Callithrix jacchus: one gene and its partners. The protein of the gene in region 3 interacts with the protein of the main gene of each other region in a pairwise test. Links are inferred from orthologs where the notes say so. Each region holds a gene or a part of one and is shown on either strand. Other genes may lie near its edges.

Region 1 (3,566 bases), on a different chromosome or scaffold from region 3:
CTGCACTCCAGCCTGGCTGACAGAGCGAAACTCCGTCAAAAATAAATAAATAATAGTTAGAACCATGCCAGGTACTAGCAAGTGCTCTGTGTTCACTATGATTTTGATTGGATTGACAAGTGAACAAATCAACAATGTCAGTTAGGCAATACCCTAAATGGTAGAATAGGGTGGGCCTTGTGTTAGGAAAGTGACGAGGTCGTACTTAGCATTGGTGGGTGAGGGAAGGAGTCTCAGAGTGAACATTCAAGCTGCTGCTCAATGACAAAAGGGGGGCCAAGTGTCAGAGTAGAGGGCGCCCACTGTACGGGGCTGTGGCTGGGAGGTCAGGGAGGGCGGGGCTGGGCCCGGGGTCCCACGGGCCCCTTAAGCCCTGGTGAAGAGTCTGCATTTTATTCCAAATGGGATGGAAAACTGTTGGAGGATTTTTAGCAGAGGATTGACAGCATCTGACTACACTACCAGTTGCTATTTAGAGAACAGAGTGGCAGTCAGGAGGCTGTCATCTGGCAGGAGACGGAGGTGCTTGGGACCTGCAGGGACACAGCCAGATCCAGGGTCTGGGTGGGAGGCGAGCCCATGGGATTTGCTGGCACATAGCCAGGTGGCCTCAAAGACTAAGGTCTGTTCTGGGAGGAGGCCCTGAGACCCCTGGCACAGGAGGGAGGTGACCTGCGGGTTGGTGGCCACCTGATGGGACTAAGCTGCTTCTTTGACAGGGGCTGCATCGTGTTCTCGGGCTCCTATGCCTGGGCCAACTTCACCATCCTGGCCTTGGGCGTGTGGGCTGTGGCTCAGCGGGACTCCATCGACGCCATAAGCATGGTGAGCCAGGGCGGGGGCCGAAGCACAGGGCGACACACGGCCTGGCTCTGCCTCCCTGTCCCATCCCAATCTTCCTTCTCTTCCTGGGGCCACCACTGCCTGTTGTCTAAAGCCTTTTTCTTCAGCCTCCCGGGTGTCAGCCCATGCCTGTCTTTGGGAGCGAGCATGCTACTCTTCTTGCCTGGCTTAGAGAAGCCCAGGTCTGCCATTATCTCCCCCAGGAAAGCCAAGGGGTGCCCCAGATTGGCTTCTCTGCAAGAGCAATGGAGCATTCCCTATAACCTGCCTCTGGGGCTCTCTTTTAGGGGAGAGGACATGGAGACCCAGCCAAGGGGGCACGCCACTACTTTAGGAAGGAGAGGTGACCCAGGCCGACCGAAACTTCCCACAGGGGAAGCTTCTTAGCACCCACCAAGCCCCGTGGGGCAGCGTGCACCCCCTGCACCGGCTCTTCAAGCCTTGGCCAGGGCTCGGGGTGACTGAGGAGTGAGAAGGGATTTCCTTTTTCTTTTTTTTTTTGTTCTGAGACAGTCTTGCTCTGTCGCCCAGGCTAGATTGCAGTGGTGCGATCTCAGCTCACTACAACCTTTGCCTTCCAGGTTCAGTGATTCTCCTGCCTCAGCCTCCCAAGCAGCTGGGACTACAGGCATGTGCCATCATGTGCGGCTAATTTTTTGGATTTTTAGTAGAGATAGGGTTTCACCTTATTGGCCAGGCTGGTCTCGAACTCCTGACCTCATGATCTACCTGCCTTAGCCTCCCAAAGTGCTGGGATTACAGGCATGAGCCACCGTGCCTGGCCCTGAGAAGGGATTTTCTTCGTGTTGGAGACAGACTGGGTGAACAAGGAACCTTCCTTTATGGAGGTTCTAGAGCCCAGTCTTGTGCCCATCATGGTCTTAGAGGTGATCGAAAATGGGTAGGGAGGGAGGCTCTGTGGAACCGAGACCTGAGCCCCCTGCGTCCCTGCCCCTAGACTGCAGTCTCAGCCAGCCGCTCCCCTGTGAGTCCTGCCTGCTTGCTTGCTCAGTTTTCCAGCAAGCCCCAAGGACACAGTAGGGCATGAAACAGCTTCGCATCTGGTACATGGTGGGGAGCCACGGGACACGGCAGGGCTCTTGTGCTCATCAGTGCCTGTGTCTTGCAGTTTCTGTGTGGCTTGCTGGCCACCATCTTCCTGGACATCGTACACATCAGCATCTTCTATCCGCGGGGAAACCTCACGGACACGGGCCGCTTCGGCGCGGGCATGGCCATCCTCAGCTTGCTGCTCAAGCCGCTCTCCTGCTGCTTCATCTACCACATGTACCGGGAGCGCGGGGGTGAGCTCCTGGTCCACACTGGTGAGGCCACCACCTCTGGCCAGCTCCCCACCACTCCCTTCTCTCCCTTGCCTGGCCCCCAGGCTCTCCCCCAGTGAGCTGGCCTTACCCCATGGGGCCAGCAGGAAGAGCATGGCATGGGCACTCTGTACCAGGCTGGAGGAGTCCAAGCTCCTGGTCTCTGCTGCAGGAGCCCAGGGGTCCCCTGACTGTCCTGGTCCGCTGCGACCTTCTCCTGCTGTGAGGCTAAGGCTAGGCCCTTCTCTCAGCCTAGAGCACAGGCACAGCTGGGGGTACCATTTAGTTCCCAGGGGCAGCCCTGGGCTATCTCCAGCATGAGGGCCACCGGCACCTACAGGTCTCCTCTCTGTTCTCACCGGGCCCCAACACTGGAACCCCATTTCCTGCCACGTGGGGTCTTTCCTCTCCTGCGGCAGAGATTGTGCTAGGTAGCCAAAGGAGAGCCTGCTCTAGCGTAGGCTGTGTGAGCCTCAGCGAAGACGGCCCTGAACTGTGGGCACTCCCCGTACCCACCAATCCCTCCCCACTCGCCCATCCTCACCCTCACCCCGCCCTCTCCCATGCCCTTTCCTGTACCCCTTCTGCTGGTGGCCGAGCTGTTTGCCTGCTCTCTGACACCTCTGTCTCTCCTTTCTCTTTGAGAGGAGTGGAGGGAGGTTGTGGGGTGTGGCCTTCTACCTTTCACTCCTGAGAAGAGAGGCCTCAGGTGGCCTGTGACTGCCACCAGCTGGTCGAGGGTAAGAATGGCCTGGGGCTGCCCCCAGGGAAGGGGTGCCAGAATGTATCTCCCATTGGACAGATGAGGAAACTGAGGCCCACAGCCCTTGGGACGTGCTCAAGGTCTCAGGATGAATGTGCAGAGGAGGGGATGAGAGTGAGGAGTGTGGGGTGTTTGGAGCTACAGTCCTGCCTTGGACTCAGCCCCAGCCTCCAAGGCCATCTGGATACAGTAATGTGGTGTCCTTCTGCCTGAGAGGGGAGCTGGAGAGGAGTGTGTGGGCCCGGGGCTGGTGTCCCTCTGCCCAGGTTCCTGAGCACTTGCTGCCTGAGGAACCACCCCATGGCACAGTGGCCTGGAGCCTGGCTTTGGGCTTGGCTGCCTAGGCGTGGGTCGCAGCATCATCGCTTCGAGCTGTGTGATCTCAGCAAGTCAGTTCATCTCTTTGACCCACTGTTTCCTCATCTGTAAAGTGGGGATGATACCTGCTGCAAGGAGTACGGGAGGATTGAATGAATGATACACGCTAAAAGCTTAGTGCCTGGGGCTGCTGCCTCTGTCTCTGTGGTGGTGTCAGGATGCCTGGCCCCAGGGTGGCAGGGGTAGATCTTGCCTTGGACTCAGCAGAATGTCTTGAGGTCTCCCCATTCACTTTTCTTTCCCATCATGTCCCCTGCCAC
Region 2 (3,296 bases), on a different chromosome or scaffold from region 3:
GAAGTAGACAGTAGAATGGTGATTCCCAAGGGATGAGCTGATGGGGGACTGTGGAAAATGTTGGTCAAAGGATACAAATTTCAGTTAGGAGAAATAAGTTCAAGAGATCTATTGTGTAGCATGATGACTATAGTTAGTAACAGTGTATTATATTCTTGAAAAATGCTAAAAGAATATATTTTAAATGTTCTCACCACAAAAAAAAGAATTATGGGAAGATATATGTATATGCTTTATTTAGCCATCCCACAATGTATAAATATTTCAAAACATGTATACAATAAATATGATTTTTGTCAAGTAAAATAATTTAAAAAAAATAAACTGAACTTTGGGACCAGACACACTACAGGTTTTTCTCCCTCCTAAAATTAATATTTACATGGCTTTAAACAGTCATTTAACTGAAAAGAAATTATTTATTTAATGGAGATAATTAATGGTGGTTATAAGGTTGAGCAATAATGCACATAAGGTATCTGATATGTGGGAACTGTTACAAACAGTAATGTGTTGATACATTAATTCAGGTAAGACCACATGAACTATAACAGTGTTAATGCTTCGCTGAATGTCAGCAACAAAGAAGCCTAACAAATGAGGTCTTATACTTCTTGTGGAAGTATATAACATGTTAGTTTTTAATGAAACAAACATGGATATATGTTATTGAATTATATATTTAATTAGTCTTCTGTATTTTCAATGGAAAATCTCTAATGATAATAACTGGTCAAAAATAGTTTATATAATTTATATGAATACATATAATAATGTTATTTAAATGCTACTTTACTTGAATTTTAAAGACAGCATATGTATGGCTTTTTTATATTATCCTAATTAACATTGATCTCTATGGGCATCTTAATCCAAATTAAAATATTATATAATTATAAAATTCAGTCTATGGAAAGGTTTGCCAATTTACCAATGTGCCAGTTAAAATGGGTTGATTTTCACTTGGATTCTAATAGTTGCTATAGAAACGTCAGGCCAAGATACACAGAGAAGGTAATTAAGATGGTTTAATTAAATGTTTTGATCTTGCTAAACCTAGCCTTCATTTGAAATACAGAATGGAAAATGTCTTATTAATTGCAGATGTCTTTTCTCTCCTCTTTTAGGATTTTGCCTACCATTTCACAGTGTTTGTCTTCTATTTTGGAGCCTTTTTATTGGAAGCAGCAGCCACATCCCTGCACGATTTGCATTGCAATACAACCATGACCCTGCAGCCGCTCCTGAGTGATAACCAGTATAACATAAATGTAGCAGCCACAGTAAGTACTCAATGAGTACTGTTCACCAGCACTTCCGCTCCACTGTCAAGGCCTCCAAGAAACTCTTCAGGCAACAGTACTCTTTAATACTAGCCGTTAATGTTAAATATATCATAGCTGTTATCTGTACAGTAACCCTGTGAGCAAAGTGCCATGATCACTTTGCTCACAGGGTTGCAGGTGATTAAACTGAAGCATAAAGAGGTTGATGTTCACATAAGACCACAGCAAGCCACCGTCTCTCATTAAGAATTGGCTAGGCCTGGTGTGTTGTGCCTGTAGTGCCACCTGTTTGGGAGGCTAAGGTGAGAAAATCTCCTGAGCCCAAGGAGGCGGAGGTTGCAGTGAGCTGAGACCACACCACTGCACTCCAGTCTGAGTGACAGACCAAGACTCGGTCGAGGGATGGGGGGGAATGGGGAGTAACCAGTATGACTAAGGAACTGTATTTTTAATATTATTTTAATAATTTTAACCACATGTGACTAGTGGCTATCATATTAGACAATAAAGGTCTGGAGTCTGAGTTTTGAGGGGTCTGCAAAAAGAACTGTGTTTTTGCTTCTTATAACTTTCAGACATGGTAAGGGATATTTCCCAGTTTGGTTCTTTAGTATTCAATAGCTGTTTGCACGTTAATTTTATTCAATGAATAGATACTGTGGGCCTACCATATATCAAGTAATTTTGCTGGCTGTTGAGGATGGGGTGGATAAGCTGCAGTTGTTGCCATTCAGGGAAGTGCAGGTGAGGAAGGGAGGCAACTATGCCAGCCATTGCAGTAGATGGTAGGCAGATGAAATGCATTCCTTGGGGCATTTATAAATTTTTAAATCATCTTTAATTCACATACTGGAGTGAATTTGTCATTTTGTATTGTATAGATAATAATTTGAAGAACTAATGTATTATTTTTGTTGTTAAAGATCACTTTTAAGATGCTAGAAGTCCAAATTTTCTGAAATAGTGTGATATTTAATATAAATATATGGCAAATTAGTGACCCTAATGTTTTATTATGTTTCCCAGGTAGCCTGTAAATAACCCAGTACTCCCCATATAGGCATTGAAATCTGTCTGGAGCAGCACTGTCTAGTAGAACTTTCTTTTTTTGTAAGTGCTGTCCAATATGTTGGCCACTAGGCTCATGTGGCTGTTGAGCAATTGAAAAGTAAGCCAAAGAGTCATGGCTCATGCCTGTGATCCCAGCACTTTGGTAGACCGAGGTGGAAGGGGACTGCTTGAGGCCAGGATTTCTGGAGCAGCCTGGTCAACATAGCAAGACCCTGTCTCTCAAAGTGGGGAAAAAAAAGAATCAAGAATTGGCCAGGCCTGGTGGCTTGTGCCTGCAGTGCTACCTGTTTGGGAGGCTGAGGTAAGAAAATCTCTTTAGCGCAGGAGGCGGAGGTTGTAGTGAGCCGGGAGCACACCTCTGCACACCAGCATGATGAAGGAACTGAAGTTTTAGTATTATTTTAACCACATGTGGCTAGTGGCTATCAGACAATAAATACCATTCTAGAGTCTGAATTTTGAGGTGTAGAAGACAAATGATTTCAAGACCCATTATAAGTTTCCCAAGTCTCTGATAGGATTTGTCAAAATTTATTGAGTGCCTACAATGAATTAGGCTGAAGGTGGGATTACAACAAAGAGTCATGGTTTTAGCTTTGAAATGTCCCATCCATGGGACATCAGATTGGGAGGCAAATTCCTTTTCCCTAATACATGTATCAAAAGCTATTGCTGTCATTTAGAAAACAATGTCTAGATTAGAAATTGTCAGAGAATCAATCAGCAGAAGAAGGGTGGAAAGAATAGCAGAAAAGCAATTAAACTGTGAAAATGATCTATAGGTGAATCCAGTATTGCTTCCCAGAGCTATAGTTTCCTCGTTAAGAACCCTTGTGCTAAACCATAATATTTATCATGTTGAACTGCTTTTGCTTTGTCTTTTAGTCTTCTATGGATCATAAACCCCAAAAGGGTGAGGACATTATCTACTCTTTGCTT
Region 3 (3,566 bases):
TCTACACTCTGAAGAATCCCATAAGTATAATATAGTGTCACCACTCACAAGGAATTTAATATTTCCTATGGCTTAAAACATATTTTTTGAAAAAACTTGATAAGCAAGACTCATTTTACCTAACGTTAGAAATATTTATGGAAAGCTCTGTAAAAGCTTAGAGTAAGTAAAATACTCAATGTACAGGAAAGGTTAGTCCTCTAATGAGCAGTTAGAAAAACCATCATGTGCTATATGTGAGCAATGTTCAGGATATCTGTAGGGAAGTGGACATTATTATAACTTCAAAATGTGTCTTGCATTGATAAATGAATTGTTCTGTCTGCTCACTCTTCGAGGGGCACCCGTGCAGTAAGATGCAAAATTTCCCATCCTGCATTTTTAAGGAAAATGTCAGAAGAGATTATTTTTCTTTAAGAGTATAAACTGATGCTTTATTTACCAGGGCAGTACTGGATTTCAGTGTACATCCAGTTACACAGATTTATAAATCAAAGAGAATATAGATGAAGTTGGATGCAGTGGCACGCACTTGTAATCCTAGCAGCTCAGGAGGCTGAGGTGGGAGGATTGCTTTAGGCCAAGAGTTTGAGACTAGTCTGAGCAACATAGCAAGACCTCAACTCTAAAACAGATTTAAAAATTAGCTGGGTATGGTGGCACATGCCTGTGGTAACTGCTACTTGGAAGGCTGAGATGGGAGGATTGCTTGAGCCCAGGATCTTGAGGCTGCAATGAACTATGAGCACACCACTGCACTATAGTCTGGGTGACAGAGTGAGACCCTGAATTTTAGGAGAAACAAATATATGTATGTGTATGTGTATTAAAAGAGACAATGTCTGAGGATTGTTAACTGAAAAGTTTGAGACCCAAATCTAATCCTTATTTCTGTTGGATGTCCCTTGAAGAGTTGAGCTGCTTTACAGAGATGGCTTATATCCACTAAGGGCCTGCACTACAGCTGAATTATAATAGGTCATTGTAATGCTTGACATGCAAGGCCCTTTATGTGCTAATTCAAACCTGAATCCCTTTTGCTTCTTTACATATTCTCTGTATTCCTACTTGCCGGACTCTGAACTTGCAATATACTGTTATTTCTGGTGCCTGGGATTCCTCCTGACTTCCATCTTTATCCATCTTTCAAAGATGCTACCTGTTCTTTAAAGCTCAATCCATGAAGCCTACAGATGAGAATATTCCTTCCTTAGAACCTATTAATATCTTCCTATTAGTCTTTGCACTGAATTAGTTTTTCATGTATTTTTCTCACCAAAGGCCAGGCCTGCATCTTATTCATTTCTGTGTTCCTTACAGCACTGGCAAGAGTTTGAACTTTGTAGTTGTTCAGTAAGCTTCTGTTGAATAAATGTAAAACCCCAGAGAAAATAGGTGGTACTTATTATTAACAATTAACATATATTTTTACTTATATATGGGAATTTGAGCACCCTCGAATGGGAAAATCTCATTTTGGAACTGGACAGGGATGGGTGGGAAGAGTGGTTGAGTGCTGTGTCTCCCTTGCACATCCGACTATGCATGGTTTCAGAATTCTTGCTGTTTTAACTACTACTACCATTTAACAAGTATCTTAGTTTTCATTTTGCCTTATACACTGTATAATACTATTGATGATTGCAAATGAGGTGTAAATTCAGATGAGTTAATGTCTTGGTGTGATAATATAAAATATCCATTTCCAAAGGAGTGATTTTTTTCCCCCCATTACAGGCATGTAATGAATTCACTACACATGTGATGAACCTTCTCCGAGAACAGAGTAGAACACGTCCCATTTCCCCCAAAGAGATTGAAAGAATGGTGGGCATCATCCATCGAAAATTTAGTTCCATTCAGATGCAGCTCAAACAAAGCACTTGTGAAGCAGTTATGATTTTAAGATCAAGGTTCCTTGATGCCAGGTATGTGAAGTCACAAATCTATTGCATGGCTTTCCCCCGTCTTTCACTCCTTGTATATTATTTTCTGTAAAACTGGCCAGATCTTAGATTCTTCTTTAATTTGGCCATATGAGCTCTTTTGTACAATGGACAGGTAATTCAACTCATGGTGCCTGTGCTGTCAAGCTTTTTCCTGTCTGGGAATGGTAGTGTGGGTTAGCTGCCAATTTAGTGTCTCAGGAAATAAATAGGATTAGCATCTCTGCTAATGACTTTAGGAATATGTAGCCTTTCCATTCTGATGCTAAAAGGTATTTTTTAAGGATAATTTTCTGCATATAACTATTTTAACAAAGGGTATTTTTTTTTTCTTTGAGACAGACTCTCACTGTGTCATCCAGGCTGGAGTGCAGTGGCGTGATCTCTGCTCACTGCAACCTCCTCCACCCATGTTCAGGCAATTCTCCCGCCTCGGCCTTCAAGGAGCTGGGACTACAGGTGCCCACCACCACACCCAGCTAATTATTTTTGTATTTTTAGTAGAGATGGAGTTCCCCTATGTTGGCCAGACTGGTCTTGAACTCTTGACCTTGATCTGTCTGCTTCGGCCTCCCAAAGTGCTGGGATTACAGGTGTGATCCCAGCACAAAGGGTATTTTCTAAGAATTTCTTAATGTTACACTGATTGTGCATATAATGGGAAAATACTTGGAGATACTGGTACTCCTAAGAAGGAAGTGGCGTTTCAGTTAATAGCAGTTACCACAAAACTCCAGAGTCTGTATTTTTAAATCAAGAAAGAAAGCCTATCATTTTTCCTGTAAGGATGAAAATTTTCCTTTATCTGAAGCTTTTCCCAAGTTTCATAGGAATTAGGTAATGCATTGTATGTGGTAACAAATTGTATATAGTGACCTACTGAGTGACAGAACAGAAGAATTGTCAATGTCCTAGTATATGCTGCCTCTGTAGGGATGCCTCTCAGGCATTGCTAAAGCTTATGATCAATCTGCAGCTTTGGAAAGGAGTTTCTATTTTATTTTTCTTTCTTTTCCCATGGAATCTGACAGAGGTGATAATTATCATCCAAATTTCACAATATTAAAGGAAATAACTAAGATAGCTTCTTGACTGGAAAACAAAGTGTGTGGAGCAGTCTTCATGCCAGAGCTCTTCCTTAGAGCCAAATAAGAAAACATTATATCACCATTTTCCTAGTTAACCAAAACTTGATATCATCTTTGGTTCTCTCTTCTTCCATATCAAATTAGTCACTAGAACTCACTGTTGCTTCCTTTTCGGTCTTTTTCACTTTATCTCTCTTTCCATCTCAGTTCCTGTCCATCCTTTTGTACAAGGACTAGCACAGTACCTACTAGTCTTCCTGACTCCAGTCCTACTGCTCTCCAGCCCATCCTCCATATCTCGTCTGTTTCTGTAACATTACTGTGCTAGCCTGATTGCTTTGCTTAAAAACCATAGTAGCTTTCCAATGCTTTTACATGCATACTCACATATATACTCCTTAACTTGATATTTAGGGCCTGTCCCTGTCTGCATTACTTCTTCGTTGTTGTGAAGATTTTATTAGTCTTTTTTCTATTTGAAAAATACCAAGCTCACTATGGAAAATTTGGAAAATATATGGAATAAAAGGAT
Region 4 (4,327 bases), on a different chromosome or scaffold from region 3:
GTTGGTCAGACTGGTCTTGAACTCCCGACCTCAGGTGATCCACCTGTCTTGGCTTCCAAAGTGCTTGGATTACAGGCGTGAGCCACCACGGCCGGCCAATAAATAATTTTTTTTTAAAAAGTTCACCTGGATAGCCCATGTAGATATTCTCCTTCCAGCCCCACCCAGCTGCTTTGGAAAATTAGAATCTCAGTCTGCTTAAGGGAGCCCAGGCTTCCCCATACTTGAACACACATTTCTTGAGGCCCTATTCTGGTGCACCTCCATTAGAATTCCAGCCCCGTTTTCCTACAATTCCACTCACGGCAGGGGCAGGCCACAGAGGAATCTGTTTAAAGACTGAGAAAGAACCATGGCTAGGAGAACCAGGGAAAAGAAAGGCCCATGCCTCAGACACTAGCCATCTTTGGGGACATCCAAAAGGCCAGCAGCCCCTAACATGTTCCTATTAAATTTCAGGAGGCTGAACTCTAGAAATTATAATCATAACATCTGGGATAATATAGTGGCAATAACAATGACTATCATTTATTGAGCAATTATAAAGTCTCTTTAAAAATTAGAGTCTTTCAAGCACTTCACATGGATTTAACTGAATCATCATAACCCTGTGAGCTGGTACCATTAGGATCCCCGCTGTTCAGATGAAGATACTGAAGTTCAAGGAGGTGACTAGATCACAGCCACACAGCCTGGATTTTCTCCTGAGTCTGAATCCAGAATCACAGCTCTTTTAGGTATAACACCTCCCACTTTTAAAACTTCTCAATACTTTCTCTTTCCCAACTTCACTTCCTCCTGTCCAAAGGTGTATGGTGGGGGGGGGGACGACGGGGGGTGTCCCTAGCCCCAACTCATTCATCTTTGGGACTCCACGAGGTGGGGTAGGGGCCAACCTCAGATACCCTTCCAGCAACCATGGCCCCCTCACTAGCCTCAATCTCTTGAGGAAAAAATCAATTCCCACAAATTATCTAAATCTTTCTACTCAATATGTGGTCCATGGACAAGCCGCATCAGCATCACCTGGGAACTCAGAAATGCAAATTATGGGTTCCACCCCAGACTTGCTGAATGAGAACATCTGGGCTGGGGCTCAGGATTCTGTGTTTTAGCAAGCCCTCCAGGTGTTTTTTTATGCCCTCTAGAGTCAGAACGACAGCTCGGCACGGTCTCCACTGTGCCCTCCCCGGGAGAGTACACACGCCCGCTTCTGCCATTAGAGCTCCCTTAACGCCCTCGCTCCTGACAGCGCACCTGTGCCCTCCCAAAACTACAACTCCCACAATGCCCAGAGGCGCGCGTCGTCACTTTCTGGGATTGTATCTTCCAAAGTGTCCTGCGAGTCAGGCCGCCATCATAGCGCCCACCCTCCCAGCCACCGTTAAGACTACAACTCCCACAGTGCCTGGCGACAGAACTACCGTCCCCAGCTGCTCCGGAGCGGCGCCACGTCGGCTCCGCAGGGTGGGGCCGGACTCAGGCGGTGCCGGCAGGGTCTGCAGGGTACCGGGCTAGTTACCGCAGCTCTACCCCTCACGACGCAGACATGGCAGCCCCGAAGGACCAGCAGAAGGATGCCGAGGCAGAAGGGCTGAGCGCCACGTGAGCAAGCCGGCTCTAGCCCTTTGGACCCGACACCCGGAGTCCCGGCCCCCTACCCTCTCCTCCCTTGAGTGCCCGGAGTCCCAGCCCCGAGACGCCAAAGTCTTGGTCCCCGATCTCCTCTTCTGGGACCCTGGAGTCTGAGCCCTTAGCCCCCTTTCCCTCTATGGGCCAGGAGTCTGGGGTTCCGGGAGGGAGTCCAGGCTTAGCCCCTTATGGGGATCTGGGCCTCCATTCCGGTCCACCACTGACCCGGCCCCGCCCCGCGCAGGACCCTGCTGCCGAAGCTGATCCCCTCTGGTGCAGGACGGGAGTGGCTGGAGCGGCGCCGGGCGACCATCCGGCCCTGGGGGACCTTCGTGGACCAGCAGCGCTTCTCACGGCCCCGCAACCTGGGCGAGCTGTGCCAGCGCCTCGTACGCAACGTGGAGCACTACCAGAGCAACTATGTGTTCGTGTTCTTGGGCCTTATCCTGTACTGCGTGTGAGTGCCTTCCGGGCCCCACATCTGCACTCTCCCTCCCCGGCTAGACCCCTCCTCTCCTGGTTCAGGCCCCGCTGCCACCTCCGGTTCTTCCTCTCACCGGCCAGGCCCCGCCCCCACCGGCCAGGCCCCTCCTCTCACCGGCCAGGCCCCGCCCCCAAGGGTTGGCTCTGCTAGACCTACCTTGTCACCAAAGGGCCAGGTCACTACTCCACCATCACCCTGGCCAGGATGCGGGGTGACTAAATGTCACCTGGCTCTCCCTGGTCTCCAGGATGTAGCTTGCCGCACACTGGTGGAGAAGGCCAGGGCTCCCTGGCTGGCCTAGCCCCAGCTGCCTGACTGCTGCCTCCCTGCACTCCTCCTCCAGGGTGACATCCCCTATGTTGCTGGTGGCTCTGGCTGTCTTTTTCGGCGCCTGTTACATTCTCTATCTGCGCACCTTGCAGTCCAAGCTTGTGCTCTTTGGTGAGAAATCCCCTGCCCATATGAATCCTTGGTCCCTCACATCCTGGTCTCTTGGAATTACAGACCTCAGAGCCCAAACCCAAGTCCTTCAAAACCCAAGTCCGCCCAAGCCTAGATGTAGACTAGGTCCCCCAAACCTGATCCCTTAACATCTCAAAACAGATGCTCCCACCGAATCTCGGCCCCCTAAATTGCAATTCCTCAAACCCAGATTCCACCTGTCAGCTGTGCCTTCAACCTACTTCTCTCCAAATCACGTGACTCCTTCCCTCTCCCTCCTCCCCTCGCTGCTCTTTGCGGCAAGCATCAGCTGCAGGTGCCCACACTGGACACCAGGTGGCAACCTTACACGGTCTAGATTTGTTCCCGTCCCTTTTCTGGCTTTCTGGGATGTGACCAGAAAGACCTTGGGACTTAGAGAGGAAAACTGAGGAGTATGTTTCATGTGGTTCCCAGACTAGTACCAAGGACCACTGGGAAAACAAAATGCCAGGAAAAATCCCCCCAGGGGAAAATCAAGGTTTGGAGTAAGGTTGGACAGTTGGGATGGGATGGTCAGGTAGACCTGCGGCAAGTTATGTGCATGACAGGCTGGGGCGGAGGAGGGTCGGGTAGAGGGAGCACCTGAAGCACAGCCACAACTTGGCTTCAGCTCATCGCCGTCACCAGCATGCAGACCCCATTTCCCAGACTTCTGTGAGAAGCCTGAAGTTGGTATTTTTATGTGAAATCATTCACTTTGCCAGCCACAAATCACATTCTTGCAAAACATCTCAAAAAACACATCCACCAGTCAGATTTGGCCCCCGGACCACCAGTTTGAGACCCCTGGTCTGCGTGAGGGTTGCAGCAGGAGAGCAGAGTAGTCTGGGGAGCAGGAAGCTGGGATCCCAGGAGCTTTCTAGAGGATGTGGACCAGAGGGCAGAGGGTGGGGCTGAGGCAGGTGAGGATGGTGTGCTGTGTTCTGGAGGGGAGTTGGGACAGCAGGGGAACAGGGTGACCCCAGGACTGGAGGGCCTTGGCAGAGGAGTTTGGATTCAATCCCAAGGTCCTGGAGCTTGTATAGATTGTTGGGGGACAGCAGGGGTTACTCTGGGAGAGGGCACGGAGGGTGGGAACAGCGCCCCAATGCCGTCTGCCCCCAGGCCGAGAGGTGAGCCCAGCCCATCAGTACGCTCTGGCTGGAGGCATATCCTTCCCCTTCTTCTGGCTGGCTGGTGCTGGCTCGGCCGTCTTCTGGGTGCTGGGTGAGTACAGGGTCTGAGCGGCTGGGGTGGATGGTGGGGCCAGGCACAGGAGTGTGGCCCTGAGCTGCCGGCTTTCCTGCAGGAGCCACCCTGGTAGTCATCGGCTCCCATGCTGCCTTCCACCAGATTGAGGCTATGGACGGGGAGGAGCTGCAGATGGAACCCGTGTGAGGTGCTGCTGGGACCTGCTGGCCTCCCCAGCCAGCCACCCCACCCCTACCCATCCCTGTCCTGCACAGGTCTGCTGCTGCTTGGGCCTACAGTGCTGCCCCATCACAAGTCCGGGGAGGGAATCTGCCTTTGAAAATAAAGCTGTTACAGGTGTCATTCAGCAAATACTCCCCCAGCATCTTCTGTGGGTCTCTGTGGATGATGCTGGAAATAGTGTAGAGACCAGGGTTGGCGTGGAGCCTGGGGTGTGGCAAGACGATCAACAAGGTAAACAGGTAAAATATTATGGGATGTCCAATGGTGGTGAGTGATGAGGAGGAGAAAAGAGTTGAGAAAGACAGTGTGCCGGGG

The links.
Region 1: the proteins of PBX3 (region 3) and AGTRAP interact in a two-hybrid assay, tested with the Homo sapiens proteins (4 studies listed by BioGRID). The two-hybrid records come from large-scale screens. The link is inferred for Callithrix jacchus from reciprocal best matches to the Homo sapiens genes PBX3 and AGTRAP.
Region 2: the proteins of PBX3 (region 3) and MAL2 interact in a two-hybrid assay, tested with the Homo sapiens proteins (2 studies listed by BioGRID). The two-hybrid records come from large-scale screens. The link is inferred for Callithrix jacchus from reciprocal best matches to the Homo sapiens genes PBX3 and MAL2.
Region 4: the proteins of PBX3 (region 3) and RABAC1 interact in a two-hybrid assay, tested with the Homo sapiens proteins (2 studies listed by BioGRID). The two-hybrid records come from large-scale screens. The link is inferred for Callithrix jacchus from reciprocal best matches to the Homo sapiens genes PBX3 and RABAC1.

What each region holds. Positions count from the first base shown.
Region 1 is NC_133508.1:49,632,896-49,636,461, forward strand, and holds part of AGTRAP (type-1 angiotensin II receptor-associated protein), read left to right. Parts: intron 1-719; coding exon 720-825; intron 826-1,972; coding exon 1,973-2,168; intron 2,169-3,566. UniProt on the Homo sapiens protein: Appears to be a negative regulator of type-1 angiotensin II receptor-mediated signaling by regulating receptor internalization as well as mechanism of receptor desensitization such as phosphorylation.
Region 2 is NC_133517.1:78,168,643-78,171,938, reverse strand, and holds part of MAL2 (protein MAL2), read left to right. Parts: intron 1-1,127; coding exon 1,128-1,283; intron 1,284-3,242; coding exon 3,243-3,270; intron 3,271-3,296. UniProt on the Homo sapiens protein: Member of the machinery of polarized transport. Required for the indirect transcytotic route at the step of the egress of the transcytosing cargo from perinuclear endosomes in order for it to travel to the apical surface via a raft-dependent pathway.
Region 3 is NC_133502.1:174,535,656-174,539,221, forward strand, and holds part of PBX3 (pre-B-cell leukemia transcription factor 3), read left to right. Parts: intron 1-1,737; coding exon 1,738-1,928; intron 1,929-3,566. UniProt on the Homo sapiens protein: Transcriptional activator that binds the sequence 5'-ATCAATCAA-3'.
Region 4 is NC_133523.1:36,983,695-36,988,021, reverse strand, and holds RABAC1 (prenylated Rab acceptor protein 1), read left to right. Parts: upstream 1-1,464; 5' UTR 1,465-1,549; coding exon 1,550-1,605; intron 1,606-1,876; coding exon 1,877-2,089; intron 2,090-2,459; coding exon 2,460-2,557; intron 2,558-3,703; coding exon 3,704-3,805; intron 3,806-3,887; coding exon 3,888-3,976; 3' UTR 3,977-4,141; downstream 4,142-4,327. UniProt on the Homo sapiens protein: General Rab protein regulator required for vesicle formation from the Golgi complex. May control vesicle docking and fusion by mediating the action of Rab GTPases to the SNARE complexes.